Linked DNA regions of Medicago truncatula. The protein of the gene in region 1 binds, or shares a complex with, the protein of each later gene. Links are inferred from orthologs where the notes say so. Each region holds a gene or a part of one and is shown in the gene's direction. Other genes may lie near its edges. The genes, in order: sister chromatid cohesion 1 protein 4, sister chromatid cohesion 1 protein 3 and sister chromatid cohesion 1 protein 2.

What was found.
Region 2: sister chromatid cohesion 1 protein 4 (region 1) and sister chromatid cohesion 1 protein 3 share a complex: the UniProt entries of both Arabidopsis thaliana proteins name them as parts of the cohesin complex. The link is inferred for Medicago truncatula from reciprocal best matches to the Arabidopsis thaliana genes SYN4 and SYN3.
Region 3: sister chromatid cohesion 1 protein 4 (region 1) and sister chromatid cohesion 1 protein 2 share a complex: the UniProt entries of both Arabidopsis thaliana proteins name them as parts of the cohesin complex. The link is inferred for Medicago truncatula from reciprocal best matches to the Arabidopsis thaliana genes SYN4 and SYN2.

Annotation. Positions count from the first base shown.
Region 1 is NC_053048.1:37,441,030-37,451,734, reverse strand, and holds the start of sister chromatid cohesion 1 protein 4, read left to right. Parts: upstream 1-6,498; 5' UTR 6,499-6,986; coding exon 6,987-7,110; intron 7,111-9,333; coding exon 9,334-9,595; intron 9,596-9,951; coding exon 9,952-10,049; intron 10,050-10,164; coding exon 10,165-10,214; intron 10,215-10,705. Other genes in the region: mitochondrial proton/calcium exchanger protein, read left to right, coding at 660-745. UniProt on the Arabidopsis thaliana protein: Involved in sister chromatid and centromere cohesion during mitosis.
Region 2 is NC_053044.1:390,765-401,803, reverse strand, and holds the start of sister chromatid cohesion 1 protein 3, read left to right. Parts: upstream 1-6,705; 5' UTR 6,706-6,831; coding exon 6,832-6,955; intron 6,956-8,387; coding exon 8,388-8,652; intron 8,653-8,774; coding exon 8,775-8,821; intron 8,822-8,904; coding exon 8,905-8,954; intron 8,955-9,084; coding exon 9,085-9,152; intron 9,153-9,347; coding exon 9,348-9,697; intron 9,698-9,774; coding exon 9,775-9,985; intron 9,986-10,096; coding exon 10,097-10,227; intron 10,228-10,316; coding exon 10,317-10,849; intron 10,850-11,039. UniProt on the Arabidopsis thaliana protein: May be involved in sister chromatid cohesion during mitosis.
Region 3 is NC_053048.1:11,361,375-11,372,846, forward strand, and holds the start of sister chromatid cohesion 1 protein 2, read left to right. Parts: upstream 1-6,355; 5' UTR 6,356-6,486; coding exon 6,487-6,604; intron 6,605-7,716; coding exon 7,717-7,972; intron 7,973-8,060; coding exon 8,061-8,098; intron 8,099-8,184; coding exon 8,185-8,231; intron 8,232-9,098; coding exon 9,099-9,157; intron 9,158-9,267; coding exon 9,268-10,064; intron 10,065-10,189; coding exon 10,190-10,307; intron 10,308-10,624; coding exon 10,625-10,761; intron 10,762-10,831; coding exon 10,832-11,202; intron 11,203-11,312; coding exon 11,313-11,399; intron 11,400-11,472. UniProt on the Arabidopsis thaliana protein: May be involved in sister chromatid cohesion during mitosis.

The DNA of each region.
Region 1 (10,705 bases):
TGTTTCTGATGTGCCCTTGCAAATTAATGCAACTAATCTAATACTACATAAGCGCAGAAAAAAACAACCTAATGCAACACGACGTTTTCCTTTTCGAGGTTTTTTCTCTCTTTCTTTTTGTGCTTTCTTTGTTGCACCATCTTTTTGGAGCCATGTCTGTGAGCAATGACCACTGAGAGGATCTAGAGAGCTAGAAAACTGTTATATTCTCTAGCATTTGGTTGTAATTATTTGTTGCTGTCATCATAATTCATAACTATAAAAGGAGGTTATGTACTGGCATATAGTACATTTGTACAACTAATATAGCTATTATCTCAATAGTCATTTTGTCAAAAACACTTTTCGAAGCGATGTGGGACTTTGATGAAAAATCGTATTCTTGACAACTTAAGAATGCCGTTCTCTCAAACAATATGAAATTCCATTAGCCTGGTTATGTTCGTTTGAAATAGATATTGTCTGCATGACTGCATGCTTCCGTGCATGTCAGGGTTCTATAAATTCTTCTATATTTATCGTTCAATGTTGGTAACAGAGGTATAGGTAACTGTAACCTTTAAAATGTCTATATAGATGATCCAATATCTTAATATGAAAATGTGTTCAACTGCTTATGAGTGACAGCTATTTTGTGCATTTATGTTAATCGTAAACAGATGGGAAAATATTGGTGGAAGACATTGTCAAATTGGGCACCCAGAAGAAAGAAGATGCCGATAAAGACGAAGTAGGAAGATCGTAGTGTTTATTTGTGAATTTTGTCATGTTATTTTTTAAAATGTAACCATGAAGAATAATGGTTGGTATGTAATCATGGAACCCCATGCCCCCAAAATTTATAAGCAAAAATGGTTAGGTTCATACCGAATATAAGGTTAGAAAATACGAATGATTTTTTATTTTTTTTTAAGTTAAACTAGAGTATCGAGATTGGTATCAGGATAATCAAACTTGAGAGTCGAGAGGAGCACACTTAGATGAACAAATTTAATTGATTTTTTTTTATAGGCAACAAGTTTAATCGACGAATTTTTCATTAATTGTGTTGTCAAACAAGGATGGTTGCCGATGAATAGTGCAAGCAAAACTAAAGAAATTGTTGTGTCCCATAGACACAGTAAAAAGCCAAAAATGCTTATGTTTTAATCGGCCGGAAGTTACAAACCGCGCATCGGAAGATAACTTCCAATACTCTACTTTCTGCAGGAATAAGTTGTGTTTGTTTTAAGTTTATCAAATTTATTTCTAGGAATAACATTCCTTGGAATATAAAGATGAAAATTTTATTGCAAGGTATTTAGGAAAAATATGTTTGGTTAACTTTATAATATTCCTAGGAACCATAAAAATAGCGATTATAATAAGTAACTATTTATGAATTTATTCCCATCTCCCTAGGAACTTTATTCCCACCTTTTTCCTTGGAATTTTTTTTCTATTCCCATGAACATTTTATACCCGGGAATAAAATTTAGTAAACTTGTAACAAACATATGCATGTATGTTTTTATGATTTTATTCCAACGAATCTACAATTATAACTTGAAACAAACACACCATAAACTGTGAAATTTAGTAAAACATTAAGAATTGCCTGCACCTTAAGTATTGTTCTATTTTTATTTTATTTTTGTATTTCTTTCAAGCATATGTATGGACATCATAGAAATTGTTGCACTCATCGTAAATTTGATATTTTAAGATCAATATTGCCGGAAGATTCATTCTTCATTGGATTTCATGTTGCAATAGGTTCTTTAAGTTAAACTGAGCTATAGAAAAACTGGTTGTTGCTTAGTTTCCCTCGTCGAGCTTCCTACTTATTTAGAAAATGCTATCTAGTGTTTCCGGACATTAGTTAAGAAAATTAATATAAAAATTAGAAAATGGTAAAAGTAGAATGTTCAACTTGATAAAAGCCAAAAAAATTGTTGTTTTTAATTAAAAAAAAAAACTCTATTTTTTTACTTTCTTAACTAGTGCTTTGAGAACACTACTAATTAGCAAGGTCCTTATTATTTTCACTAGTGTTTGTCTGGAGGAGCTCCGAATGGTCCTCAACTAATAGATATTGACAGTTACATCGTTTAAAATAAGAGTATTTTTGACATTTTAGAGGATTTGTGAACAATTTAAAGGACACTAAGGGTGTGTTTGGTTTTGAGAAGAAAATGAGAAGAGAGAAAGAGGTGAGAGAGAGTATGGAAAGAGAGAAATAGAGTAGATTTCACATAGTGTTTGGTACAAGAGAGAAAAGAGAGAAATAGAGGAGAAAGAAGTGTGATTAATTTTTAAAATGACTGAAATATCCTTATACAAAAAAGTTAATATACAAATTTATTTTATTTGAATTTAACTTCATATAAAAATAATAATACAAAAATAATTAATTTCTTACATATAAATTAATTAACTTATTTTCTTAATTAATTATTTAAAATATTTTATTTTGGTCAATTAAATCAATTAATAAGCTAAGTGGTGAATTTTAGTAGTTTAATTATATATATATATATATATATATATATATATATATATATATATATATATATATATATATATATATAATAAAAGAGGGATAGAGTTGCATTTTGGTTTGCTTTCATTCACGACCAGCTAAACCAACAAAAAACTTGAAAACATAATTGATAAAATAGTGGCTCCATATGATCAAAAGCAAAGAGAAATATGGAAAATAAGAAAAAATTAGCAGGTATTATATGTCTTCCCTGTCTCTCTTCTCAACCAAACATGAGAGATTAGCTATCTCTCCCCAATTTCTCTCTCCCCTCTTTCTCTCTTTCTTATTTCTTCTCTACCAAACACGGTGTAAGCGAACATTTCCAAAACTCAGGGGCCATTTTGAGAATTTGCTATTTTTACTCAGCTCATTAAGACATTTGTCACTTTTAAATCACTCACCAATCATGTATTTTAAGTTTGCTTTAGAAAATTTTCCATTATCTTCTTTGATGACAAACTAGTTTATAGTCACGCTTGGCATGACTATTTGAAGTCTTTTTTACTGTACCATCAAATTACAAAAAAGTACTATCAATTTCTATGATTTGAAGATCATTCACACCAATTTTGTAGGACATGTATATGTTTGGGAGGACAATAATCACATCATTGACTAAGTACCATTTTTTTAAGGAAAATACTTACATGATGTGTCTACACACTGTTCACACGGTTCCCTACTAATTTAAAATAAAACTGCCGAAAACTGTATCAACTAATGCAACCAAAAATTGTTTAAACGATACCGTTTAATGAAAAATCATTTGAAGAACCGGCTGAACAGCATGTATGGAACTGTAGGTAAGTATTCCCCGATAGCTATGTGACAAATCAGCTTGTGGGGACCAATTTCTCAACTTCCCTTTTTATATTAATAAAACAAATATTAAATTCGTATTTTAATTATTTATTAATTTAAGTTATTTTAATTTTAATTTTTGAATGACAAATATTACTAGTTAATTGTTAGATTAATGTTTATTTTCTACCAAGAGCATTCAATTTTTTTTAACATTTATTTTAAACTAGTTGAGCTACCTTTTAAGTTTTTATAATTATCCAAATCCAATATAAATAGAAATTATCCTCCCCTCATTTACTATGCAACAAAACTTCTCACCCATCCCATACAATCAAAATTATTTACGAAATTATACTCACAATCATACATAGATGTGTTAGAATTTTTTGTCCAATTATATTTCAACGGACATGTTGAAAGGACAAAACAGAAGGTGTTGCATTTTCATGCAACAATTTATCCTTGTTAATCGAAGAAAAACATCAAACTGCATAGACTTGTCCAATGTATCCAGACAAAGATTCAACCAATCAACTTAAATAAGGTGTCAATCTTGTTTATTGATACCCTACAACTCTTGTTCAAAGAATTGTTTGGTATGAGTTGTTAAATCTTATTGGAGATGGAAACTTTCCTACAATGTTTGAAATGTTCACGACTTGTAAACATCTTGGCATTTCAACAATGGCGGTTTACAAAGGTTTGGTGGATGTTCCCTGTGACGAAACCCAAGAAGAGCCACCATATACTAAACCAACACTTTTTTCATACCCTCGCTCCATATCCTTTTATCAAAAACACAAACAAATCATCGCTCCATTTTCTCTTCATCGGCACACTGGCCATCAGAATCCACCCATGGTATTGACCTTAACTCATCATTATGTTTGAACATCCCAAATGATATTGTTCATATTACTGTTGGAGTTGGTGTCCACGACAAAGAAGTCAGTGATATGTGAGAATGAAGATGACATTCTTATCCAACACGTCATCAATGACAATGAAAACAAAGACTTTCACTTCTTTTACCCTCCTTCACACTTTTGTAATGTGACATTTAGAGACATGGAATACATTGGTGATGAGTCTGTCTTATCCATGTCCCCACATAAAACCACACAGAATTTTCTCAATCTCGTCACAAATAGATTTATGAATCTTCATGTATTGCATATCATAATACAAATTAGAGCAAATTTAGAATATTGACTATGTTGGCTAAACTCGAACATTGTTGCTACCAACCAATTTACTTGTTTTGAATTTTTTCGCACAATGTGATTAAAATGACATCAGTTATTTCCAATGATATGTTTGCCCCCATATATTTTTCCAAATTGTTAACTTTAGAGAAAGCAGTATGCTGTATAATATCATATTGAAGTTGATTAACAACATTTTTGGAGAAAAATATGTGTTTTTTTAGTGTTAATATTTTGACTAGTTGCTTGACATAAAAGATGAAGGCAATGCATAACCTAACAACTTACAAGAAGGGACAAATTTAACCACAAAAGAAATGACAATGTGGTCCATAAAAAAATATCATAAGAAAAAGTCACAAACTTCGTGGTAGAACACCTTGATACCACTAGATGCAGTGGCAGATCTTGAGTTATTTTGTTGGAGGTGCCAAATATTTGTGGAATAAATATTAAACAGTTTCAAAAACATATCGATATAATGAACTAGTGTGATTGTTCTTTTGCTTGTTTTTCATGTGGGGGGTGACAGTTCAACTCTCATTAGGAACATTTTTTTGAACTTGAACAAATATATTAAAAATACAATGGAAATATAATATGATAAGGGCGAGAGGATCAACACACGACCTCCAGCAGATTGGAAGATTTTCAAACCAACGCGACAACCATAATTTAATTGACATGTGATGCATAATATAAAATTTATTGATATGTTGGGGGTGCAGTGGCTCCCATGGGTCTCCAAAGAGATCCGCCGCTGACTAGATGGGTTGCCTATTGTACCTATGAAATTTGTATGTAGAGGGTAGAGGTGTAGAATCATATAAGTTAGCAAGAAATCACATGTTTAGAAGATCATAAAACTACAAGGGCCACATACATGTGCATCAACAATGGTTTCACAAGATTGTCGACAATTATTTTCGACTTTCATTTGGGAAAAACTTCCACAAGAAATCATCGCTCTTCGATAGTATCTTCTAGGAATTATTATTGATATCGAAATGATGTCCTTTAGTGAGGATATTTATTTTTTTAAATGACATATATTAGTATGTCAATTGTTATATTAGTTTTTTTTCCTTTATTAAAACTATCCATGTTGTTCAAAGGAAGTTTATCTTCAAACGTCTCTTTTGAAGTTTGGAACCTTGCATCAAGGGATTTGCTTATTGCAAGCCAGTTCGTTAAGTTGATCGAACATGGTTGTATGTTAAGTATCATGAGATGTTACTAATTGCAATTGTTCAGGATGTGAGGAAGAATGTCATTCCATTAACATATACCATTATGGATGATAAGGCATCTGATGAATATTTTTTTTTTCTTTTCTTTAAATGTTTACAAATGTTGGTTTCACCCCAACCCAACCTTTGCTTGATTTCAAGTAGATATGAGCCGATCAAAAGTGTTATTATGCGTGTAAATATCTGATGCATGGTCTGTTTTCTTTATTCTACCATTAGTTAGACTTCATATAGTTTCAAGTAGACATGAGCTGATCGAAAGTGTTTTTTTTATTTTTATGTCAAGTAGCTTAGCAGCTAAAGCTGACACATAGGGAGTATTTAGAGTTCGAACTTCAATCATTGCATATAATATGCAATATCCCTATCAATTGAGCCAAATTTACTAGAATATAGCGGATCAAAAGTGTTGTTAAGTGTGTAAACATCCGATGCATTGTTTTTGTTCTTTACCGTTAATTAGACTTCATATAATGGTACTCGTGACCAAAATGGGAATTGCGACACAAAAAAAGTTTACTACAAGAAAAGGAAATACAACTGATACTAATGTAGAAAGTGGAAGTGGAAACATAGCAGTAAAAGAAAAAAATGAAACAAGTGTAAGTAAACGTGCATGTTTGTCTCTCAGTCACTACGTTAACCCAATCAGACACTGACACGACGACATACCAAACACTAATATGCTTCACGACTTCGATTAATTATTAATTTTTATTTCAAATAAATAAAAATTAAAACCGAACCAAATCTCGATCGCGCTCTTCACACAATCATTCTTCATTTCTTTCAAATTTCAACTCAATTTTCAATTTCACCGATTTTCCCTCAAAAAATTTCCTATTTTCTCGTTTTCCCCCAACAAATTCTTCCCCAATTCTCACCCTAGCTGCAAATTAGGGTTTCTCAACTTTCAGCTTCAAATTTACACTCTTCACATTTTCGCTTCGTTTTTCTTCGATCTTCAGCTTCACCTGTTACTAAAAGCTTAATTCTCGCGAGTTTATTATTTTTCTGTTAGGTTTTGAGCTATTTGGTGTTTGGTTTGGTTGATTTTGGAGAAAGTGAAATTAGGGTTTGTAAAGAGGGGTTTTACGAAGTGGCTATGATTTTTGTATTTTTAGGTGTGTTTGTAGATGGGGATTGAGATTTAAGCTGTGTTTGGTGTTGATTTTGGGAAAAAGTGATTCTTTTTAGGTGAATATGTTTTACTCTCAGTTTATTTTGGCGAAGAAAGGTCCACTTGGGACTATATGGATAGCTGCACATTTAGAGAGGAAGCTCCGAAAGAATCAGGTGGCGGATACGGATATTGGCGTCTCTGTAGGTAAGTTCGTTAGTTAGTTTGTTTATATATTGATTTCGATATTTTGATTCCCTGATATTTTAGCATGATTAGTGAGGTAGATATTTATGATGGTAGTTAATTTTTGAAAACCCTAGTTTCTATAGTGTTATAAGCACACTGGTCTTTGCCGCTTCCTGATCCACTCGCGTCAAATTTGAACTGTTGTCGTTTTATTGGCTGTTTGGATTGACAATATAAAACATTGTCGTTTGCGTAAAGAACATGTCTTAATGTTTTAAGTTTGTCGTCAAAATTGCATTTGACTTGAAGTGGAAAATGTTGCTTTTGCCTTGTAGGTCAGATTTGAACTCTTGTGGTTTTATTGTATGTTAGAATCGGCAGTATTAAACATCGTCGTTTGCGAAAAAAGCATGTTTTGATGTTTTACGTTTGTTGTCAAATCCACGTTTGAGTAGAAGCGGGAAGAATGTTGCTTTTGACTTGAGCTTTGAACCAGTTTTCATTATGAACTTACCCTTAGTGGAAATGTTATTTAACATAAATTAGTTTTCTTCTAACTTAACACGACTAAAATCAATTTTGTAAAGTCAAGATGATTCGAATTTAAGTTTGACGAATGCTCATCCAATCATATACTTAATCTCCTGACAGTTGGTTACCGCGTAGTACAAATTAATAATTATACAACTTTGACCATTTTGTAGTGTAAAATCTTGGTTACTTGCAACTCAAGTGATTGAAGTATTTCCGAAGATTTTATGGGCAAAGTTTTTGGGTTTTTCCCATGTCATATGTTAGTAGAGTAAAGAGTTCCCCTCATATCCTCATGGACCTGTGGTGCTTTGCTAATGGTTAGACTTGTTGACATCATCCTTAGGGTCGATAGGAGCATAGGATTCTAATAATACGTCGAGCTCTAGGGTGTTGTTGTGCATATTTTTAACATTAAACATCATTAATGATTTTATTTCTGTGGGGATACTGGATATGTTATCCTGCTTTGTTCGTGTATTTGCTTTTTTTCCCGCTGTATTTAAATCATAAATTGTATTCTATCCTTTTAAAGAATGACATTATTAATTCAAACTAATTTGTATAACCTTTGTTGATAGTTCAGAGTGCTATGAATACTCTAAGATATAATGGTATATTATTCTTTGTGGAAGTGGGAAACCAAATTTTCTGAAGTAAACCTAACTAGAGTGGGTTGAGGTATGGTACCTGATTGATTATCCACCTAAAACGAAGGATACTGCCCGTTATCTCAATTGGAGGTTAAGATAATGGATTCTCTTTTTCTAGCTTTGGATTTTTTTTTTTATTGTCTTCTAGGTAGAGAAGTATATCATTAGAGGTTAGAATAAAATTGATTAAAGGAACGACAAGAATAGAAAATGTTGTAAAATGAGAGCTCAAAAGTGAAAGAAAGAATAGATGGACAAATATTCTCAACAATAGAGCTTTCCAATCTACTCCAATCTACTTGTATGTCTGCTGTAGACACCCCCAAAAGAGACCATAAGCTGTGCACAGAGAGTAAAATAAAAAACATTGAATTGCACAACAGATTTATTGGCTGAAATTAAATGCACAACCATTTTCCACGAGGAAAATTCCTCAAGGAACAGTGTAATTGCTGACTTCCCAAGAGTCTCCTCCGTAGTCATAATGAAGCCCCTAAAGTTTATTTGAAGAAGTTGTTCTAGTTTAAGATGGCATACCCAACCGACAACAAAACACTTAAGTTGGTTTATTCCAGATTCTGTTTATCAAGGCAGAAATGGAGTGCAATGGCAACACTAGATCGGTCTATTTCAGATTGATCCTGCTGCAGGATAGTGTAAAAAAGTGAGCAGCTCTTTCTGAACTAAAGGCTACCTTCCAAATGAAAGACTTAACCTTGGCTGTGATAATTGTTCTCAGTGAATTTACGCCATGCAACTTGTTTTAATATCTGTAGTCTGATTATAAAAAGCAAGGCAAGGAATAGTTATGTGTCTGTACTCTGTATGCAGTGAAGAATTAAGGACTACCTATTAGCTAATGCTTGCATGAAATATTTGTTGTTGCCCAAATTTTGTTATGAGCCCTCTGGAGGGGATTAATTCCAAATTATAGGGGAATTGATATTCCTCAGTACGTTTGACATGCATGTGCTGTGTTTATTGTTGTCTTCTTTTGACTACGTATAATTGTTTCAGTTTATTCATTATTCATGTAGTCACTTTTATGAATGAACAGATTCCATTCTTTTTCCTGAAGTACCAATTGCACTCCGTTTATCCAGTCATCTTCTGCTTGGTGTGGTAAGAATATATTCTAGAAAGGTGAATTACCTTTTCGATGATTGCAGTGAAGCCTTGCTTAAGGTAAAGCAAGCTTTCCGCTCCGCCGCAGTTGATTTGCCACCAGAAGAGTCCACTGCACCTTACAATTCCATCACCTTACCCGAGACTTTCGATCTTGATGATTTTGAACTGCCAGATAGTGACATTTTTCAAGGGTAAGTTCTATAATACTTGATTGTATGACTTCATGTAGCTCCAGCTGTTGTTACTGCAGCAACATTTTTTGCTTAATTGAGCTGATATTTATCTAAGTTAATCTATTTTGTTTCATTTGAAAGATTGTTCGAGATTTATATGCTCTTATGTATCAGCTATTACCTGGGTATTTTCAAATGATTGATAGAAACAAATTTCGAATTAGTTACATAATTTGGTTTTAAGTTGCAGACCTTGTATTTTCTTGTGTTTTTTCCAATTTGGTTATATTAAAGGTGATTTCATGTAAGATGGTTTCTGTGGAAGAGTTATAGGTTTATTAACAGAAGATTATATATGTTTTGTGAACTTGCAGTAACTATGTTGATCGCCATGTCAGTAGTAAGGAGCAGATTACACTGCAAGATACTTTGGAGGGCATGGTTTACAAAACATCACAGTTTGGATTGGATGGTTTGTATTCTACTTTACCCTTATCTTTGTACTGGCCACTTGATAGTGAATTTTAAATATAAAATAACGAAATCTGTGCTTATAAGCAATGATTGACATCAAGCACATCTTTCAGAGCGCTTTGGAGATGGCGATGCTTCTCAAATTGGTTTAGACCTTGATGAGGTAATTAGCATTTGTTTGGCACTCTGCATGGTGTGGATTGCTGAAATTGAAATACAAATATTGTTTCAAGGCCCCAACATATTGATTCTGACGTTACAATTTTGTTGTCAAGTTATGAATAGAAGCATAGATGTATCATGTTGGTGGCACGACATCTGAGTCACACACACACACACATATATATAGGGGACATATCTAGTGAAAATGACATTTTATATGAGAATGATAAGAATGAATCTCAACCATCAAGATTAAAATGGATGGCTCATATTAAAGCATTTAATAAAGTATCTCACGTGCCAGTTGTCTATCTCAACTGTCTTTTTCGTCTGAGTCTTTTGTTTCATCTCCCTTCCAATGGAACAAGTCTACTGTTCCATCTCTACTTGCTTTTTAACCTTACTCATGCTTGTGTTTTATATTCAATTTCTCTTCCATTTGAATAACCATACATTATCATGAAGAGCCATGCCAATTTATAAATTATTCAA
Region 2 (11,039 bases), on another chromosome or scaffold:
GGAAATGACTAACTTGATTGACGGAAGTAGAGATAAGGGACCAAATTGAGATGTATTATAGTTAAGGGATCAAAATGAAATCCAAAAATAAGTTAAGGGACCAAAGCATGTATTACACCTAAAATTTACAACATAACAACCTCAATGAATATGCACATCTATACAATCCTAAAAAATCCAATACATTCTTCTAGTAGCCACTTGAAGCCATAACAATAATCTTCGACTGATACGAACGTGTACTTGATGATAATCCATTCGGCTACCTGCATACCGTCTCTTGCCACAAAACCTGATGATATGAAACATAAAAGGATTGGGATGAGACATAATGTCTCAATGAGTTCTACCTAATCCTATGCTATAGGCAACCTCGGGGAAACTTATGGTTACCACGTGTCTACAACACAACCATTCAGTTGATTATACGTGTGTGAAATCTTGCATACCTAAACGATCTTGCATAACTAAGATCGTCATGATCTTCTACATATCATAGTCTACAAGTCTTGCTATATGCTCTACATGCCATGGAGGTCAAGGGAAACTAAGACCCCTAACTCTGAATATCGTCAACATCATGGCTTAATCATATCATATACATAACATATTTTTGACTGGACGACTGGGGAAGACTAATATCGTCAACAATGTGTCATCATGAACATGTTGCAAGAGCATATACACATCTGTGTCATAACATAATCCTATCATATACATGTTGCATGAATCATTCATATTTTGTTAGAGGTTAGCGTTGAACAATCATTGTTATCTTGGTTCGTTTTACGGATTAATCCCGAGTGAAGTAACCCAAGAATTTAGTCTCATGACATAACCGGTGAAATTCCCATCGGAGATTAACACCGGACTCCTCTTAATGCCGTGCAGTCTTACCTTGCAGAGTGTATCCCGTTCCCCTAACGTGAACCTCTCGTATCCCCTGGCGTGGATAACGGAAAGAGACGACATGTTCATACTTACATAGTCTTATTCATACATAAAGGGCTATTAACTTATACTTACTTGAAATGATTACCATGGGTCCGTAATCTATCCGTATAGCGGTAAATACTTACGTGCTTGCTCTTATTGATACATGTCTTGACGTGTTTAGGTTACATAGTAACATGGCTATTCTCGACTATCTAAGTCGAGGCTCTATGAGTTTCCCAATGCTTAGAGGTTAGGTTACTACCCGGCATGATTAGTATCATATACTCTCGTGTGCCATTCATTGTCGAACAATGTTAATGTTTCATCATGCATTTCCCTTTTAAAAGCTTAACTTGGATTGTACATTAGACACTTGGAAATTGAGGGGTTTATATGTTATAAAAGACTGCACAAAACGGGCCTCTCGGACGGCCCTTGCCGGGCCTAAGAACGAGCCGACGTTGTTGCTGGAGTTTACACGCGATAAGCGAGTTTTTCGCGTATGGCGTGTTTCTTCAGCCCAGAATTTGCAGAACACGTATTTTGGCTTAAAAACCTCAAAATCAAGTCCCTTACTGCACACTATCCATCCAGAATGCATAAAACCATAGAATATGAAATGCATGTCAACATTAACATAGTTTTGGGCAATTCATGGCACAAAGGGGTTAATAAAACCTAATTCATAAACTAACATAGCATGAGTTCTTACAAAAGTACACACACACAAACCCAATGGTATGAACTAACTAAGAACTCACATGTATTTACTGAGATTTGCTTCAAGCTCCTAAGCTTCTACACCAAACCCTAGCCCATAGCTTATCACAAACAACTCGATTCCTTGGGTTCAACACAAAACCCATATCAGTCCCCTTACTTCAAACTCTCCTCCAGGCCTCAATGCTGAACCTAAAATCATGAAACCGATACCAAAATGTCGGGAATTTCGTTAGCTAACCATAGCAACAAAGTTCACGTGATTTGAAGTTACAGCAAGAGAGTTCTTACCGTTTTGGTGAAGCCCTGTCCCAAAACCCCTAACCAAATTCCAGCAGAATTTACCAACTTCAAATGCGTTTTCCGAATCCGTTTCTAGCCCAAATCATACAAAGTTTGTGTTCAAACTGAAGGGAATTGAATGAGGAATCTAAACCTTCAACAATAATTCAATTCCAAGCCATACATAAAGATATACGAATCAAAAACCAGAACTTGAGCTTACCGCTATTTCATGAAACTCAGCCATAATCCCCACAGCCAAAAGATACAACACCAGCTCTATCTCTAACAACTCTTGGGGGTCAGCTTATGCTCTTAGAGATTCTGTCACACAAGCTCATCCCCAACGTGATTTGAAACCCCAAGCTTCAAGCAACTAAACTCAACCTTAGTGCTATCTTCTCCTTCAATTTCATGTTTCTACACACCAACAAACCATAACCAAAGCTTAAACACACATGCAGCAACCATAAGGGCTTAAACTTACAATTTTCCCAATGGACATAAGTGGAAATAGGGCTCGGCTGAGAGGAAGTGAAAAGTAACATTGAACTTATTTTTAGAGCTTATATGTGATGAGAATCAAGTTGGTAACATTGCATGTATGATTAAAATAACTTGGGTGGAAAACTTGTGAAGTTGGTGGAAAGGAGACTGGGAAAAGGCTTCAGCTGGAAAGAGAGAATGGAGTGGATGAAATGAAATGACTATATATAGTGCTTAGGAGAAATGACCATCTTGCCCTTTTTTTTATTAAAAGTCTTGCTAAGCCACACTAAAGACACCGATAACCGAACATGTGTGTTTAATTGAAACTGTATGTTAAATATTCTCCATTAAATAATTAGGTAAGTTCTATGGTACACCCAACAATTTAAGTGTATTGGTACACCAAATCCTTAAATTAATACTCCTTCCGGTCCTATTTATAAGAGAAAGTTGACTTTTTAGATACATTGAATAATTTATGTATCTAGTCAAGATCAATCTAAACCAAATACATAAATTATTTAATGTATCTAAAAAATTAATTGTCTCTTGTAAATAGGACCGGAGGGAGTAGTTAAATGAGTTATTTTTTGTAGGAAAAAATTATTTTCTATCACCTATAATTATAATAACTAAATCTTATTTACCAAAAACGTCAACGCAATAAAATTTGATTTTTCTGAATTCTTATTACTCATAATAGAGAATTTTGAGTATTTTTTACAATAAAATGTAAAAAAATTAGTATGATTTTTAGAAAAAATGAAATGGTGTTTTTTTTTTTATATAAAATGATATTTTCTAAAATATACTCCCTCCGTTTTAAAATATAAGCAAAATTCACTTTTTAGGTTCATTCATTTAATGATGTGCCATTAAATGAATGAACCTAAAAAGTGAATTTTGCTTATATTTTAAAACGGAGGGAGTATATGTCAACAAACACTTATTTTCTTCATAAAAAATGATAGTTAATTTATAAAAATTAAAGTGATGGTACCGGTACACTGTAATTTACGGGTGTACCATAGAAGTCCCCAAATAATTAACCCTTCATAATATTTCTTCTTTGACACGTTCACTGATACTGCGGTCTGTCGAGAATTTAGCTGGATGTTACATTCAAAGTAATATATTCTATTATGGGAAATACATCAATAGTTAATAAGGGTAGTTTAGTAAAAGGGTTATATTTTTAGACAACTTTATTGCATTTTTTAATATGTATGCAGAAACCTTAAATGACATTCGTTTTGAAATGGATGGATTATTAATTAGAGTATAAAATTGAAAAAGAAGTAATTAATAATGTCTTGAGAATCAAAAGGGTCATTCATTTTAAAACAATTTTTTTTTTTTTTTACAAATGAGACACTAATTATCAGAAAACAAACTCAAACACTCACACTGCATCTTTGTATCAATATCATTCTAAGTGTATTTTTTTAATCATACTAATTCTACACAGTGAAATTAGAATTTATCTTTATGTAAGAACTTGTTTAATCTTCTTTGGGGTGTAAAGAAGGATTAAGTGAGTGTTAGTAGTCTGAATAGGATGTGAAAAACTTGTGTAAGCATGTCGAGGCATTGAGAATACAACGTAAATGTCATCAAAATCATAAGTTGAAGGCGCGGAGAAGCATTCTTAAGCATCATATTAAAAATTGTGGGGATTGAACTAATCCACATTCAGTGAAGCATTATTATCTTGTGTTTTACTCGCTTATCCCTACTCTTTATTTATATATTTAGATCATTAAACTTATATCACACACCAAATCACTTTAATTGAATTTGTGCACTTCCATGCTTCATAATCATATTTGTCTATTCTCATTCTAAAGTTTAGTTTAAAAGATAAAAAATTAAAAGGGTCGCGATCTAAACCTCGTTTTCTTGTGACTATTATTTTAACTTCATGGTGGGTTCAGAATTATGACTTCCCTCACCAGAAGCTCTTGCCTTAGTTTGAGAAAGTTTTCATCAAAACACTTTATGGCAAGTTGGTGATGGTAAAAAAAATCATGCTTGGTTTTGACAAGTAAAATTTTATGGTGAACAATGCAATCCACCACGCTCAGTCTTCTTTTGTAGTGATCGATAACACTTTGAGGGTATGTGATATCCTTAATGCATGCAATAACTGTGACGAAGGAGTGACGAGTCAATGTGATATATTCTTCGTGATTGTATTTGTATGCATGTTACTCAAATTTGGTTTCGATTAATAGATTCTAAAAATATCACTTGCTTTATTCTCGAGTGGGACGAAGGAGTGGATCTTTTAGAACATGTAGAGATAAAGGGAATGCAACAACTAACATATCTTGTTCGAGTATATTTATGGTAACTTCTTGGTCTTTGTGGAATTGGAGAAACTGATGTATATTTGAGGAGGGATTTTTTTTTGTAATTTTGTAATAACAGTATCTAAGAGGTACTCAACCATTTATATAGAGACTCTTTAACAAAATATTTAAATGAGTTCTAGGAATAACTTTTTATCATTTACGTTTCAACAAAAGCAATTCAACAATCATTATTTTATTAAAAAGTGGTGTGAGGTCCACTTAAGAATGAGAGTCTTAAGTGAGACCTTGGGTCTTAAGAGACCTCCAATTTTTTCCTCAATGAAGGTACCTATTAGATACTAGGTCTTAAATGGTGAAGACCTCACCATTGAGGATGATCTATGTAATTGTCGAGAAGATTCACAAATTTTTGTGAATAAGGTCAATAAGGTAGATTGCGAGGACAAGTAACATATTCTTTCCAAAAAGTTGTCCAAGAGACTTAATTTTTTTTATAAATAAGATAAGATACGCGATCATTTTCTAAAAATAAATAAAAAAGAACAAAAAATTAGGAATAAAATTTGCAACAACTTTTTTTGACTCAAAAAACTTGTCGAAGAGACTTCACAACATTTTTTTATGGTGGTCGGGATTCTTGCATATATTATGCATTATCTCTACCAACCGAGTTAAGCTTACGAGGACACTTCAGAACATTCATAAATAAGATATATAAGATACACAATCATTTTCTAAAAAAAGAACAAAAAATTAGAAAGGAAATTTGCAACATCTTTTCTGACTCCAAAAAGTTGCCTAAGGACTAAAGAACTTTTATAATAAAATAAAATAATAAAATTACTTGTTAACAATTTTTTAGAGATTTGTTAACAATTGTTGAACTTTGAAGTCTATCATAATCGTGAGCTATAGATATTAACTCATTTAAACTTTTTTAATTATTCCAATTATATCTTTTTAACAATTCTTCTAAAATACTTATTACGTTCCTTTTAAAGGGTTCGTTTTATAATATTAACACAAAAATAGCGAAGTGTATTTTTTAATCTTTTCTTCCTGTTATACCTCATTTTAATCCATCAATATATTTTTATTTTTTTGCACACACTTTCTCTTTCCAACAAATTTAATATGTTATCTTTCTCTGGTAACAAACATTTGTTGGTTACTATCCTTTTCTCCAACATTTTTTTTTTGCACTCTCTTATAACAAACAATTGTCAATTTTTAAATATTTTTCTTCTATCTCATCAAATGCATCTTCAACTATATCATCAGCCGTTCCAATGAGTCTTTCACTCTTTATTCCTTTTGAACATTCATGCAGTCTTTTATTTTATTTTTCTCCCAAATATGTTCTTTTATTTTGCACTTGAAATTTTTAACAATTACTGCTCATTTTATTTATAAAATTTTAACTATTCAATCATTATTATAGGTAACAAAATTTTGTTAAAATTTTAGGATAACAAGAAACAAACTTTGTTTAAAAAAAACAAAATTTAATTTTCCAAATATATAAAGCATTAATTAATTTTATTAAAAAAGATAAGAGTAATTGACAAAAGATATAATTAACAAATCATACTTTTAAAATATCAAAACGATGGTTAAATAGAAACGAAAACGACAATTAAAAAAGAACGGAGAGAGTAAGTTTTATTGTTGGCGGACTTTGTATAATGTTATATTAACAATGTTATTGAAATTAAGATATGAATTTATTAATAGTGTCATCGGAAACATAAACATAGTTGGCTGAATTTGTTAAATAAATATTAATTTGAATATTTATTGAATAAATATAACAATGGTAGTTATCGTAAATTAAGGATGAACCAAGGTGTTTTGTTACAAACCCACACACGAATCGTATCCAACACAACACAACCACACAACTTCCATGACACGATTACACGACACTATAAAATAAAAAGCGGCACTTCAAAAAAACCAAAATTTCATCAAAAATCGCGCGCCAAAAACTTTCCTTAAATAAATAAAACCAATCGTAACCCTAATTTCTTATAAACCCCTAATTTCTCTGAAAATTCTTCAACAAAATCAACACAGAAAAACAAGAAGAATGTTTTACTCTCAAACGTTTTTGGCGCGAAAAGGACCACTCTCAACGGTTTGGATCGCTGCTCATCTTCAACACAGACTCAAGAAATCTCAGTATGCTTCTACTGATATTCCCTCCACTGTTCGTAAGTACCATTTACTTCAAAACCCAATTTTTCAATTTTTTTTTTTCATCTTAAAGTTTAAAAGATTAAATTTTTCTCAAATTCCTATATGGGTTTTGTGATCTTTGGAGGGTTGATGTTGTTTATTCTATTGGGTTTTAATTTTTCATATTTTTTTTATTTTTTTCTTGATTGAAAACAACAAATAATTTTTTTTTGTTGTCAAAATTCTATCTGGGTTTTGAGTTTTTTTCTGGGGGTAATGTTACTCATTCTATTTGGTTCTAGTTTTTCATAAAAAAAATTAATTTTTCTTGATTGAATTATATGTTTTTTGTATTTCATTTGTCAAAAAAAAATGTTTTTTGTATTTCAAAGTTTGAAAGTTTCTCAAAATCCTATCTGGGTTTTTGGATTTTTTTTAGCGGTAATGTTCTTCATTCTAATGTATTTTAATTTTACTATGATTGAATAGAAAAAACTAATTTTTTTTTTTGTCAAAAACCCATCTGGGTTTGAAATTTTTTGAGGGGGTAATGTTATTCATTCTATTGGGTTTTAATTTTTCATATAAAAATTTATTTTTTCTTGGTTGAAAACAAAAAATAATTTTTTGTTCTCAAAGTTTATCAAAACTTGGGTTTTCAGTCATTTGTTGAGATTTTTGAGCCATTCTTTTAGACTTAATTTTTGAGTCTGTTAGTTCCTATTGTGGGGGTGGTGAGGATGTTTATGAATGTTTTTATTCTCAAAGTTTGATAGTTTTTATTTTTTTTTCTCTATTGGGTTTTAATTTTCCTTGTGTATTTGTTCCTTTTGTGAATGGTGGGGTGTTTGTGCCAATTGAGGACCTTGGAAGTTATTGAAGTTAGTAATTTATGAATTTTAATTATTGAATTTTGTTTGTTGATTTTGTTTGTATGATAGTTTTGTTTTATTCTTCTAAACTTGCATTTAGAGATTTTATTTATTAGGTTTTTTGCTTTCCACAATATCTGTTGACATTGTTGTAGACATTTTAATAATCTCAAACTTGAAAAGTTTGTAGCTTGTTCAAAATCAGATAAAATTCCATCTGGGTTTGCGGTCACTCATGATGGACAATGTTATTCTGCAGGGTTTTAATTTTCACAATATAATCGGTGTGGAGCTTTGGTTATAAATATAAGTGTGTTTTGTTAAATAAAATCCCAAAAGAAATAGTGGTCCAACTGGTGAAATCACCTGAACTGCCATTTTTTGACCGGATGATCGGTTTGTTCCCAGATTTTATGTCATAGCTAGTTTCATCCTTTATTGGACCCAATCTGTTTTTTATCAGCTTAGTTTTTTTTTTTTATTGAAATTTCATTTTTTAAGCAATTGTATAGAGGTTCTGCTTTCTACAATGTTTTTCAATATTGTTGTAATGATTAACGTAGTGATTGACATTGATCTTGAATGTTACTTTTAGAGCATATAATGGATCCTGGTGTTCCCATTGCATTGAGGATGTCAGCTCACCTACTCTTAGGTGTTGTTCGTATTTATTCGAAAAAAGTTGATTACCTTCTTAACGACTGCAATCTTGTTCGGACTGTTTTGTACAAAGTATTTGCTTCAGTATCAAATAATACTTTACCTGAGGATGCTAGGCAAGCACCGGTTCATACTATTACCATGCCAGCCACTTTTGACCTTGATGCGCTTAACTTAGGCTATGAAATAGATTTTAACGGGTAGAGTCTCCTTTATCTTTTCATACTATTATCAAAATCTCTATACAACTGAGTTTTCTTTTATCTTTTCATATTATTACCAATTTTTTTAATCAACTGATATAAAATTGGTTATGTCTTAGGTATGAGGATGCTCACATAAGGAGTCAAGATGAGATTACTCTTGCAGGTTAACTAAGTGGATGCATAATTTTAGTTATGTATTTTTTAAGTAACACATGAAAGTTTAAAATATTTTAATGCTATGTGCAGATCGAAGTCCTATTGTAGTGGATAATTATGTGGCTATACGTTTCGATGAGGTGCATGCTTTTTCCTTTCCTTCTCATTCCTTTTATATATATAGAACTTACGACTTTAATTTGAATAATGTTTTTTTTTTTTTTTTGAGTTAGAAATTTATTTCATCTACTTGTTTTCTTGTATTTTTAGGACATACCATTTAGTCCTTCAAATGCACAACCGCTACCAGATTCTGAGGCAAGACCAAATGAGGAAGAGTAAGATTTGTTGGTTTTGGTGTTCAGTTACATTTTTATTTCTGTTTCCTCTTATGAACCAATAGAATAATACATTGTTATTTGTCCTTATAGATATATTCCAAAGAAGAGTAAGTTTTTTGTTGGTTTTGGTGTTTAGTTGCATTTTCATTTCTGTTTCCTCTTATGAACCAACATCTTTGTTTGTCCTTATAGATTTATTCCCCAATCTCCATCGTCGACAAGGGTAGTGGATGTTCAAGATGGTGGTCCAAGTTCCCATATAGAGTCACATACTACCAGTCATACTAGTGATGATAACAATCATATCTTTCAGGATCCCGTTACAAAACAGACATTGCCACCGGAAAGTCTTCGTGATCCTTCCAATGATGCTGTTGAAAATATTCCAACAGATATGGATATCGATATAACTGTTCATGAAAAGGATCAGACTCCTGAAATGATTCCTGAGATCCATGCTGAAACCCCCCCAACTCAACCAGCTAGACCACCAACTCCAGATGCTTCTCAAGGTGGTGCCTCAGATGGACAAGTTCATGGAGGTCAGTGCTTACCTTTCTCTTACATTTACATATGAATCATATAAATTTATAACTGATTTTTTCGTACTCAATCTCAGGGCCAATTTCTGAACCATCTCTTAGGAGTTGTTCTTTCGATGCTGCGATGCTTCCTACCCCTCAAATGGAGCAGGGACAGAGTTCTACCCATCAAATGGAGCAGGGACAGGGTCCTGTCCCTCAAATGGAGGGTCAGGGTCAGGGCGAGAGGCCTCAAAGAGTAAGGAAGAGAAATCAATTCTATGATGACCCCATAGTGTTACCAAATAGGTAATTTTTTCATTGTTTGATTCAACTGCTTTTGTGTCCTGCAACATATAGTTACATGTAGAAATGCACGGTTTTCCCATACTCATTGCTCATGTTGGGATACCTCTATAGAGTCATGAAGAGAGCCCTTAATGATACTCGTAACATACGACGGAGGCGAAGGGACGTCACTACTTTGGGTGCATGGGAACTGAAGAGCAAACGGTTCAAGGAGGGTGTTTTTGACCAGCCTTTATTTACAGGTAGCTGTTCTTTATCGTTCAATCTGAAAATTTTGGTACTTGCATTCCCTTATGAATTTCTCAATTGAAACTTGTGGCTTCTTATTCAGGAATATGCAATGAACTTCTAAACATACAAAGAAGGGAATATATATGTTCAAAACCTCACTTGGTCATCTCTGAGGAAGATCATCCGGATAATACTACTATTACTCCTCCTCCAATTAATCAAGTTGCTGATGAGCCAATAATTGATGCACCTGAAATTGCTGTTGACGAGCCAACAACTGATGCACCTGAAATCGTTGTTGATGAGCCAATAACAGATGCACCTGAGATCGTTAATGCATCTGGTGTGGAAGATATTGAACACATTCGTGACGTTGCTGATGATCAACCTGCCACTATCCCAACTCAAAGTAAAGAAACTGAACAGATTATTCCAAGTGCTTATAGAAGCCCTGTTAAAGGAGGTGTTGCGACTCCTACTTCGGTTTCTGAGGGAATGGACATACCATATGGTGCAACATCACCTCGAGCTCATGCATCTGAAACTGGAACTTCTAGCACATATCATGATAACATATTGCAGAGCCATGACTTTTCAGATACTAATCAATTTATCAATTCTGCTGGAAAAGACGTAAGATTTAACGCCTTTTTATGAATACTTCTGTACAATCTCACTTGATGAATTATGTTCCATTTCAGCATAAAACTTTTATTCTAGTTAGCATTTTTACATGAGTTGAGAAAAAAAATTGAATGAGATATTTATACTTGCATCTTTTTGCTCTCTTATGATAGGTAAGGATATACTTATGACATATTGT
Region 3 (11,472 bases), about 26 Mb from region 1:
TTGTCTGAATTGATTCACGGATTTAGTGAATCAATTCACATAGTTGTTTTTGGAAGAAAATTTGCACTTACCCTCCTTTTCAATATATACTCACTTCCTCATAACACTCAAATTATGGAATCATTTCTATTCTATCTAGGTCTCAAAAACTCACTGTTCATACATTCTTTAACATTAAACACTTTTTTCTTAGAATCGCTTTGTTCTTTGAGTCATAAGATTTGCTAAGGTGCTATAGGGATTGTAAGTTGGTTCTTTCAAGGAAATTGATTTGGCATAATTAAGGTTCTAAAGTGAAGTGAATAATCTCATTCCACCTCGAAAGGTCTTGGGGGTTCTTTCTAATTGTTCTTGTGTTCAAGGGGTTCCAATTGTCGGACGTAGCATCAAAGAGCTTAAGTGAAGAGCTTGAAGGGTCACACTAGTGATTGATGATTCAAAGACATCAAGAAGCACCAAATTCAAAGGGTATTTGAAGTTTTTTGGAGTGGTTACATAGGGGTTGAAGAACTAGGATAGTTTCAAGGAACTTTTGTAATTACATTTGTAATTCAACATTGTTACTATTAGTGGAAGTCCTTGGTGGATGTGTTTTTCACCAAGAAGAGTAGAGCATCCCAAAACAAGGACAAAAGGGCGAACTACTATAAAAATTTCGGTGTCGTTCTCTCTTCCTTATCCTCTTTAATTTTGATAATTGTATATGCTTAAATTGATTAGCTGATATAATATAAATTGATTTTGATCTAAGTTCTTTTTGGTTAAAATTGGCCTAATTCCTTGAATTAGGTTTTCACTATTTCACTTGGATCAATTAGTTTCAATTCCTAGCCAATTCATCAATTGCATATACATTGTGTTTTTGGTTTTTAGTTTGTTATATTTTCTTATATGCTTGGTTTTGAAATTGTCTTGTTTTGCAAATTGTTCAAGTATTATTAGTAATTGATTGAAATAAGATTTAGCTTGTGAAACTCTCAATTCTCTTGTAAATCTTATTAGTGCATAGTCTTAACAATTTGTCATAGTTTGTGATTGTTCAAAACATATTTCCAATAAGTTAATATCTTTCAAAACACTTTCGCCAAAACTCCGTAACATTTTTAAATCGCTATTCACCCCCTTTTAGCACACATCCTTATTGACCATATAGACCAACAAGTGGTATCTAGAGTTTGGTCTCTTCACTAACGGTTAACTACCGGAAGAGTTTATCGATATGGCAAATAAAGAGGCCAATGGGGCTTACAATAGAGCACTTATTTTTGACGGAAAAAATTATGACTATTGAAAATAATGCATGAGTGTTCATATTCAATCGGTCGACATGGACGTGTGGGATGCCGTAGTCAATGGGCGGTTCCAACCGCAAGTTGTTGCCAATGGTGTCGCACTAGAAAAGCCAAAAGTCGATTGGAGTGATGATGACAAAAAGAAGGTACAATATGATTTGAAGGTGCGAAACATTCTCATTTTCTTTCTTGGATTGAATGAGTATCATTACGTCTCTCATTGTAAGATCGCTAAGGCTATGTGGGATGCGTTGGAAACCCTTCACGAAGGAATCGACGACGTCAAACATTCAAAAATTAATACGCTTGTTCAACAATATAATTTTTTCCCATGGAGTAAGGTGAATCCATCTCCTATATGCAAATGAGATTCACTCAGATTGTTAACAAGTTGCAAAGCCTTGGTAAGGACATTTCAAATCAAGACTGAACTAACAAAATTTTGAGATGAATGGCAAGGGAATGGCAGCCCAAACTTATCTCTATCAAGGAAGCGCAAAATCTCAATGTTCTTAGTATGATCACACTCTTTGGAAAGCTAAAGGAACATGAACATGAGATTATCCGTTTGAAATCTAGTGAGGAATACTCAAAGAAGAAGGAAAGGAAGTCCACTGCTTTAAACACCAATTTGTCCGTGTCCATCTCTTTGGTTCAAAATGAAGATGAATCCGATGAATATTCAATCAATGAAGAAAAAATGAGCTTGTCTGTGAGACGATACAACCAATACATTAAGATAAATGGGCCAAAGCACAATGACAAGAACCTTGTCAACTTTAGGAAGGCTTTGCCAAATGCAAGAGAATTAGAAAAGGATGAGAAAATTGTTAGCTGTTATGGTTGCGGAAAAGTAGGCCACTATAAGAATGAATGTCCGGAACTAGCTAAGGACAAAGGGAGATCCGGATCCAACCGAAAATCAAGAGGAAGGAAGGCCTACATTGCTTGGGAAAAAGATGAAGTAACCTATAATACCAGTGACACCGAAAACAATGAAGAATATGACTTATGCTTCATGGGTCATATGAAGAAAGCTAAAAATGAGGTAACCTTATCCGACTCCGACTCTGATTCCTACTCCGATTATAAACCTACTTATAAGGATTTACAATATTCCATAGAAGAAATGCATGCACAATCCTTGACTGATTTTGAGAAATTAATTGCTCAAAAGAAAACCATTTTGAAACTAGAAACTGAAATTTCTAAACTTAAGGAAGCTTTTGAAAGTTTAAGAGATGAGCATGCTTCACTTGTCAATGAAAAAAATTGTAAATCCTACAATTGAGCCACCTAGTAGTAAGTACTTAGGAGGTGATATTACTGATATTGAGTAAAATCTGTTGAACCAAGGAGGTAACTAGTTAATAATTAAGGAAACAAGTGTTTGCTTGAAGGAAATAAGTTGTAGCCTAGCAGAACCATTCTCTTAAACCCTTGGTAAGGTAGAGGCTGATAGAGTTTCCCGTTTGTAGAACTACTAAGTGCGAGAGAGAGTGTGTTATGAGTGTCCTGAGATTAATAGATGGCTAGACATACAGGAACCTTGGCCTTCATTGCCTTGGGAAATCTTGGAAACCCAATATAAATTCTATGCTTTCAATCACCTTTGAGTTGGTAAGATCCCACACGTAAGGATAACCGTGTGACCAACAGGTGCAACTAAACTTTAGGGGATAAACCTAGTTAACTGAGAAGTATATACCCCACACGTGAGGATCACCTTGTGACCAGTAAGTGCAGTTTAACGACCGATTAGGTTAGTAACATCCAAACGGCCTCATCACTTGTATAGTCTGCCTAGTTATGGGATCAAAATGAAAACTGAAAATTAATTAAGGGACCAATAAACCAAATAAGCCCAAAGAATCTTTGGTCTCCAATACCTAGACCAAAGAAGAAGAAAAAAACAAACATGAGTTGATGTACTCTTCTGCACACTAGGGTTGAAATCAGGGGTTCAAGCAAAAAGCATCAATAAACCAGGGTTCAAGTTCCAAGAGACAACCATTCTTACGCTTCTTGCATCCTCTAGATAAGAGAATGAGAGCTCATAATAGCCCTTATCTAGAGAAGTTACTCCCCATCGTCCTAGATTCTTCCATAAGGGTTGTAGCTTTTCATGAAAGGCAACAATTGATAAAGAGATTGCACCATTGGGAAAGATCAAGCATGCATGTAAATTGTTCTTGCATGTTTCCAATCATTTGACATATCCATCCTTAAGGATTTGCGTAGCTGTTTTATTGCCTTTCAAACATGGTTTTGGAATAAAGCTGAGATGTATTTCGTACACAATGTTTAAGGCTTGTTCGAAGGTTTTTTGAGTTGTTTGTTTGGGTTGGGGTGGTGGTTTGGTAGCGATCTTAAGTTGGGTGTTATCTGTGAACCATGTCCAAGGTATTAAGATGTTTGTTTTAGGCATGGAGGTGGTTTTGGTCATGGTGGTGGTGGTTGGTACGAGGCTAGAAGATGGTAAATTACTGTTCATCACAAAATCGCCAGAGCATCGTATTATTTTTAGAGTAACTATATGGAGAAACCACCTTTGATTAAAATCAGGATAGGAAAGTAATTTGATTGATCTCAGGGCAGCCATTTTGAGTATTAGAGACGAGGGAACATGAGATGGGAATTTGAAAGATTGCTTCGGAGAAAGAGGAAATAAAATGAGAAAAAAATATCGGCCATTGATACTTTAATTAAGCAACAACCTAATGATTAGGAAAGTGAATCAGTTAATTAGTTGGACAATCAAGGCTATTGTTAGGTTAAGTCAATTGGCAAGAGTTAATGTTTTGACATATCATAGGCCGAGTAATAGGTTCTAACGACTAGTTCCCTACTTTAGGTGAAATTATGACATTGTTCACGCGTAGCTCTATTAATTGTGTCACATAAACTCATTTATCAAGGGTTAACAAATGATACGATTTAGGCGTTGCTTTTATTTACACTTAAATAAATTATCTTGTTAACCGAGCTCGACAAATAGGCGATTGAACTATTTGGCTAGGGAGCCTTCCGGTCGATTGAAGGTTAACTGATGATAAAGCAGCCGAGCGAGGGAGATGACTATTTCTCAAGGCCACTAACTCAGTATGTGAGACGTTGAAACCTCAAAACTAAGTAATAAACAAAGTGGGACTATACAAAGATGCGGGAAACTTGTGTACCATGTTTATAACACCACAAACCGCGTTGAGGAATGAGGGGGAGGACACGATTTCCATGGAGCTGTGCACTAAAGGACCTTGTCAATATATCATGTTGAGAAAGAGAAACTGAAGTCTAATGTGGGGGCTCACGATCCCACCAGCAAGGGAGTTTTCACACACAAACTACGAAATTAGTCGAGCAAAGGCTTATCATTGTAGATCACAACATATTAGTATAATATATTGTAAATAACACATCCAATCAACCAAACAAGTTTATTTTTCCTCAACATTTTTATCTCTTGGCCTTTCTACCTTAATCTTTAATTTAATGCATTTCTTAATGCTGCTAAAAAAAATCCTAAAACAACCATATGTAACACTCTACATGAAAAATAAGGGAATCCACAACCGAAAGACAAAGTTCATCCCTGAGCATCAATCACTCAACTAAATTTAGCTTCTATCACCAAAGCCTAATTAAAAAAACTTTGTAAAAAAATAATTAAAAAGGAAAAATAAGTTTTAAGAAAATAAAATAGATTCACTGCACCTTGTAATTAATGCAATTTCCTTCCTCTTAAAAATGTTTGAAACTATATCACGTAAATTCATTTAACTTATAATTACTTTATAAAATAAAAGTAAAATATTGACTATAAGATCCTACTGATATATATATATATATATATATATATATATATATATATATATATATATATATATATATATATATATATATATATAACTTTTGATATATTTTACTTTGCATTTATAATAATAGGAATACATCATAAATTTATAAGATTAATTTTCTCTTATATACGAGCACAAATTTTTTAGATTTTTTAGATTAACTTTTGTGTGGATTTATTGAGTTAGATTAATGTCCCCCAGTTTGTTAATATACATGAGCACAAATTAATTATTAGAGTCTAGCTGTAACACATTTCATTCTCTTTAACATTATTGTGCTTTTAATTTACAAAAAAAATATATTAATTTTTTTATATTATTATTCTCTTTTTTTTTTGACAAATAATATTATTATTCTCTATCAATCATTTAAAATTATTTTAAGAAAATAAAATAAATTAACGCACCTTGTAATAAATGCATATGCTTTCCTTGTTCAAAAAAATAAAAATGCATATGCTTTCCTTTTAAAAATATTTGAAATTTATCAAGTAAGTATTGACTATACGTCATCTAAATATTATTTCTATAATTTTTTTATTTACATAATAATACAAACATATTCCACAATTTAATTTGTCAATTCAATGTCTACAATGACAGATGTATGTTTACAATGACATTATAAAAACTAAATATATGTAAATATTCTTTTAAGATAAATGATATTTGAACAACTATTTTATGATAACTTTTTTTTTTTTCATTATATTTTTATTTTTTCTTTCTGTTGTTTTGATTTTTGTGCCAATACCTATATTCCTTTGACTCATATTTTTTACTCGTTAAAGATTATATGACCCACCAAACTTGGTGGGTTTCATATAAATTTTATGAAACATCTATAAAAGAGAATGTGTCAAAAAAAAAAAGTGTTATAAAATGTGTTTTTAGTATTATTTAGATAACAATGAAAAAGAGGATAATTTTGTCAAAAAAATAAAAATAAAAAGAGTATAAGTTTCAAAATCATTTATTAACACAATAATAAAATGAAATAAAGCAATAAAATAAAATTAGAAATTTTATTCATAAGAAAATAAAATAAATTTAATACACTTTATAGTCAAAGTAGATAGTAGATACCTTAATTGTCATTATAACAAAAATAAAAAATAATATTATTTTATTGTAAATTTTGTTTGATTCATGAACTTGGAGAAAGGTTAGTTGATATATAAGTAGTTTGTTTTTGGTGTGGCAAACTTTACTCGACCGTTTCTTATTTTCATACAATGTTTTCTGAAACATAGCAGAGTGAAGTGACATCATAGTACACTTTTTCTTTCATTCAAAGACAGAAAACAACATAGTACTTTGTGAAGAAGAAGAAGAAAATGTTGAAATCTAAGAAAGGGTTATGTTCAAGTAAAAATCCATTGTGGGTTGCAGCTTTTTTCTTCAAACAACTTAAGAAAGCTCAAATTTTGGATAGTGACATTTCTTCTGCTGTGGGTTAGTCTTTTCTCTCTCTTTCTCTTTACCCTTTCCCCTTTTTTTCAGTTTGTTTTGTAATATATGATGGAAAAACAACATTTTTTATTTTTTTTAGTTACAAATTTAACTGTTTTTGTTGTTTATTGGTTCATTGAGAGACAAGAAAATGGTTGTTTTGCAGTTTTTTTTTTTTTTTGGGTGTTTACTTATGATGTTCTTCTGTGTTTGTAAGTGGTTTGAGAAATTTAGTTTTTTTCTTTCTGTTTTACTAATTTGGGAAATTTCTGGTAAAAAGGGGCATTGAATGAGAAAAGAATGCATTGGTGATCAGAGAATTTTAGTGTTTTTTTTTAATTTAATTTTGTGTTTAATTTTTTTTCTTCATTTTTGTGTTTACTTGTGATTTTTTTCTGTGTTAAATTATTTGGGAAATTTGTGTTAAAAAGAATGTATTTTTTTGTTAATTGGTTGGTGTGTCATCGTTTTGTTTAAAAAGTTGGTGATCAGGGAGACTGTTTTACAATTTTGTTCATGTTATTGAGTTTATTTATGTTTTTGGATAAACTGCAGTGAAAATCAATGGTGGAAGACATTTTTGTCTATGACATTGTGATATTTGATAAAACCTAATTCCCAGATAAATTATAGGTCTAGGCAAGTAGCTTTAATTGAACATGAAACATAACAGTAGCTTAATTGAACATGAAACATAGACTAGGAGTTTAGTTTAGGTCGTTCAATTAGGCTTCAAACATACATTCTAAGAGAAGCATCTGCATTTTAACTTTTATTTAATGAGTCAAATTTGATAGATTCCCTGTAGGGCAATATCAAAATATAATCAAATGTAGTTTATAATTAGTTAATATCTGATTTGATTTGATATATTACATAGGATTTGGTTGTTATTTAGATAGGATGTGGTGTGTTATTTGATCGGATTTAGCTTATCCTATTTTCTAGTTTAATCTATTTGATTATTACTAAATATATTATTAAAGATCGGTAAAGAGAACTTAAATATGGATTATAAGCGAGTTGAACTAGATTATTAACGATGTTGTAAGCTCTAGCTATGATCCTCCATGTAGAATCTAGCTAACATGTTTTTCAAATTTTACCTTCGACAGACCAGATTTTGCATCATGAAATGGATGCTGTTTCCTATCGACTGCTCGGATATCTTCTTTCTGGTGTTGTTAAAATATACTCAAAGCAGGTTGAGTATCTACTCGATGATTGCAACAAGGTGCTTTTTGGAATCAACAAATTTGTGATCAAAACAAAGAGCAACACACCTGTGGAGAAATTGCGCATGTCTTTTATCATGCCAGAAACATTTGATTTGGATGCTATCGATCTCGGTACACCTGAAGATACTTCCAGGTAAGGTTTCATTAATTTCTGAAGTTTAACTGGTTAGGGACATTTCTTTGTTTTAAGCATTGCATAACTTGTCTTCTGTTGATTTCAGATTCCATACTGCTCTCCCAGAACAAATCACTCTAAAAGGTATTAAATTGTTTTAATTTTTTAATTTCATAGTAAATGTTTAATCTTGTACTAATGTTTACGTAATATACTGTGAAATGAAACAGATGTTTTGTCAAATACTGCGGGATTCATGCAGTTTTCTCAGGAGAGGGTACGTGTTCCATGGTTTTACATTATAGTTTATCAATCCTTTGAGGATTATCTGAATGATGTTTCTTCCATTTAACTTGATCAATGTAACTGTTTTGTTTATCTTTGGCTCTTTGCAAATATATGTCCAATTGAATCGTGTCTGTCTAATAAATGCTCTTTCTTTTCCCTGTTTATATATGTGTAGCTCTTATTGATTACTTCCCGCTTCAAGAAAATATTTTGTGGCCTAGAATCGTAAACTTCAGAGTTTGAGAACCTTGGTTAAGAGGCTTAGTTAGTTAGTTAGTTAGTTAAGGAGTTTGTTAATTTGTTATTCTGAGATTTTTTGTATTTTCGCTAGTAATACCAGTTGGTTTCTATCAGCATACAAGATGCTATATTTGCTTGAATCTCCAGTTAAAAGCGTAAACTTTTAAATGAATTGGTACTTTTGACATTCATATTCGACAACCACCTCATAGTTTTTCACTACATTCAATGTCGTGCAATTGTTTTTTACTTTTTACTTCAATTATGAATTTTGTGATAATAATGAAGCAAAAACAAAGGCAGAAAATATTTAATAACATTTTTCTTACAAAATCTATATGATATAATTCGGTATAAGTTTGTATTAAATAGAGTTGAATAATTGTACAATAACTATGGTCATCATGTATGTTTGAATGACTGGACTGGATCACCCAGTTAAATTGAATTCCGTCTTAATTGAAGTCATAATATGTTATAAGCTCATTGATTTCATATTGTTGACAGTATTAACTTTACGAAACAATAGATTTGATGACTTTAGAAAATATGGAAACAGTTCTGTTTTGATTCTTTGATTGGCAATCCTAAAAATCTTAGTTTTTGTGATTTGCAGTTTGACGATTTTGGTTTGGGTGAAACTAGCTGCTCTCTTGACCACTTTATGGCTGAAAAGTACATTTCTCAATTTTTGAAAATTTTGAATTCATGCTGCTGAATATCTTTTAGAATCAATGAATAATTTCTCCATCAAACTTATTGATTTTGTGATATGCATATTACAGTGTTCTTGAAACTCCATTGCTGAACTTTGACTTCGAAGCTTTTCCTTCGAGTAGTTCAACAAATTTACTGGCAAGCAAGGATATATTGCAAAGCCGCATATCCGGTCAAAATGTGGACGAGTTCCATGAAGAGAATAGAATCTCTCGAGAGGAATCAATAGATAAGAGTATGTTTTTGGGAAGACAGAAGGAAGCGGTTTTACCTTCTGCATCTTTTAATGAGTCTCGGCAAATTGGTATCGAGCATAATATGGCAATGGAATCATTAAGATCGTTATGCCAAATGGATCAGGAAAATGTTAGCGTTGATGAAACACTAGCTTTCCGCGTATCCAGTCAAAATGTGGACGAGTTCCATGAAGAGAGTAGAATCTCTCAAGAGGAATCAACAGATATCAGTATGTTTTTGGGAACACAGAAGGAAGTGGTTTTACCTTCTGCATCCTTTAATGAGTCTCGACAAATTGGTATCGAGCATAATATGGCAATGGAATCATTAAGATCATTATGCCAAATGGATCTGGAAAATGTTGGCGTTGATGAAACATTAGCTTTCCAAGAAAATGAAAATTTTCTTCACAACCAGTCTTCTGTTGTCAAAGAGTGCACCGGAGAACTCATTGAAGAGTCTATTGTTGATCCAACTCCTCAGTCTAAGTTTCAAGGAAATTTAGAAGTTCAAAAAAAGGTTTCATTTGAACATGGACAATCTAGTGTTAATCCTGCAGAGTCCACAATTCTTGATCCAACTCCTCAGTCTAAGTTTCAAGGTGGTTCAATCGGAAGGCCAAAACCAGGTTTATAAAACCATTATTTTATAGAATCTTTGAAAATGCAACTACTGAATGTTTTTCTTCATTTTTCGTATGTACTTCATTATTCTACTTATTTCTTTTTCGTACTCAACATTCTATTTTGGCAGGTTCTACTTCTACTACGTCGGAGTTTAAGCTTATTCCTACACCAACTGCAACCGAATCTGCTCGCTTTTCAAGGAAAAGAAAATTTGTTATTGATAAAACGATGGTCTTGCCTACTGAGTATGTGATAGATAATAAATACAGAAAATATTCTTACCTATTATTCTTTTCAACCATGCTCTTTTGCTATCCATTCTTATGTCTGAAGTTGTTTAATGTCATTGAGATTTAAATGTTTTTATTATTTGCTTCCTAGAACACAGGACTAGTTCAAAAGGATAGTTTTATATATCTGAAGTTCTTACATTCTAATATATATTTTGGACTTGAGTTTTTATTAATTCAGTTCTTTTTAGGACTTTCAAGTCTTCATTTTGCCCTCAAGATAGTGTTACTTTGAACTCTGACTGAACACGCTGCATTTTGATCCATTTCAGGGTACTCAAAAGGAGCATACTTGATGCAAGTGACTTGGTCTCTGTCCGAAGACCATTAGGTCTCTCTTTGCTTGATAAACACAGAAAATATCAGCTTTCCAGTCTTCTGGATAGATTCAATGAATCTCTGTTTACTTGTAAGTTTGAATTTATCATTTTTTCTTTTTGTTATAAACTTTACATCTTACTAACCTTGTTTTTCTGCAGGCCACTCCGCAAAGCTCAAGTCCTTGTTTTCAAGTAAGAAAATGAAGATTCCAAACTCTCTTAAGATAAAGGAAACTCTACCAGAGTCAGGTGTGTCAGAATCTCGAGCTGTTCGCATTCCAGACCGTATCGAAATTCCTCCAAGGTTCTCAGAAACTATAGGGGAGTTAGATGTGTCTCAGTCTCAAACTTGTGGTAGTTCGGATCACACAGCAGCTGCTCCAGAAACACCTCCTTTGTGCCCAAATGTGAAAGTTAGGACAGTTAAGCAACATGAGAGAACTGAAACTCAAAATTCAGATGATTTTGTGCCTTCAAGTCCCCATGAGAGAGAGCAATCTTTGGAAAGGAGTGCTGATATGGTTGAAGAGGTAATGAAGAACTAAACTATGAAATTTCTGTTGATATTTGGTACACCGTGAGATCTTTCACGTAAATTCATTATTCTCCACACAACTAACCTAGAAAAACCAAATTGCAGTTCAATGAAGAAACCTCAAATACATATGAACCAATGGATAATGAGCAATGCTTTGCAGTGGATGAAGATCTCAATCTCGTGAATGAGGTAACAACTATCATGTATTAAGTTTTGTTTTTCTACCACATTTATTCTTGAGTAGCTTGTGTGGAATTAGAGA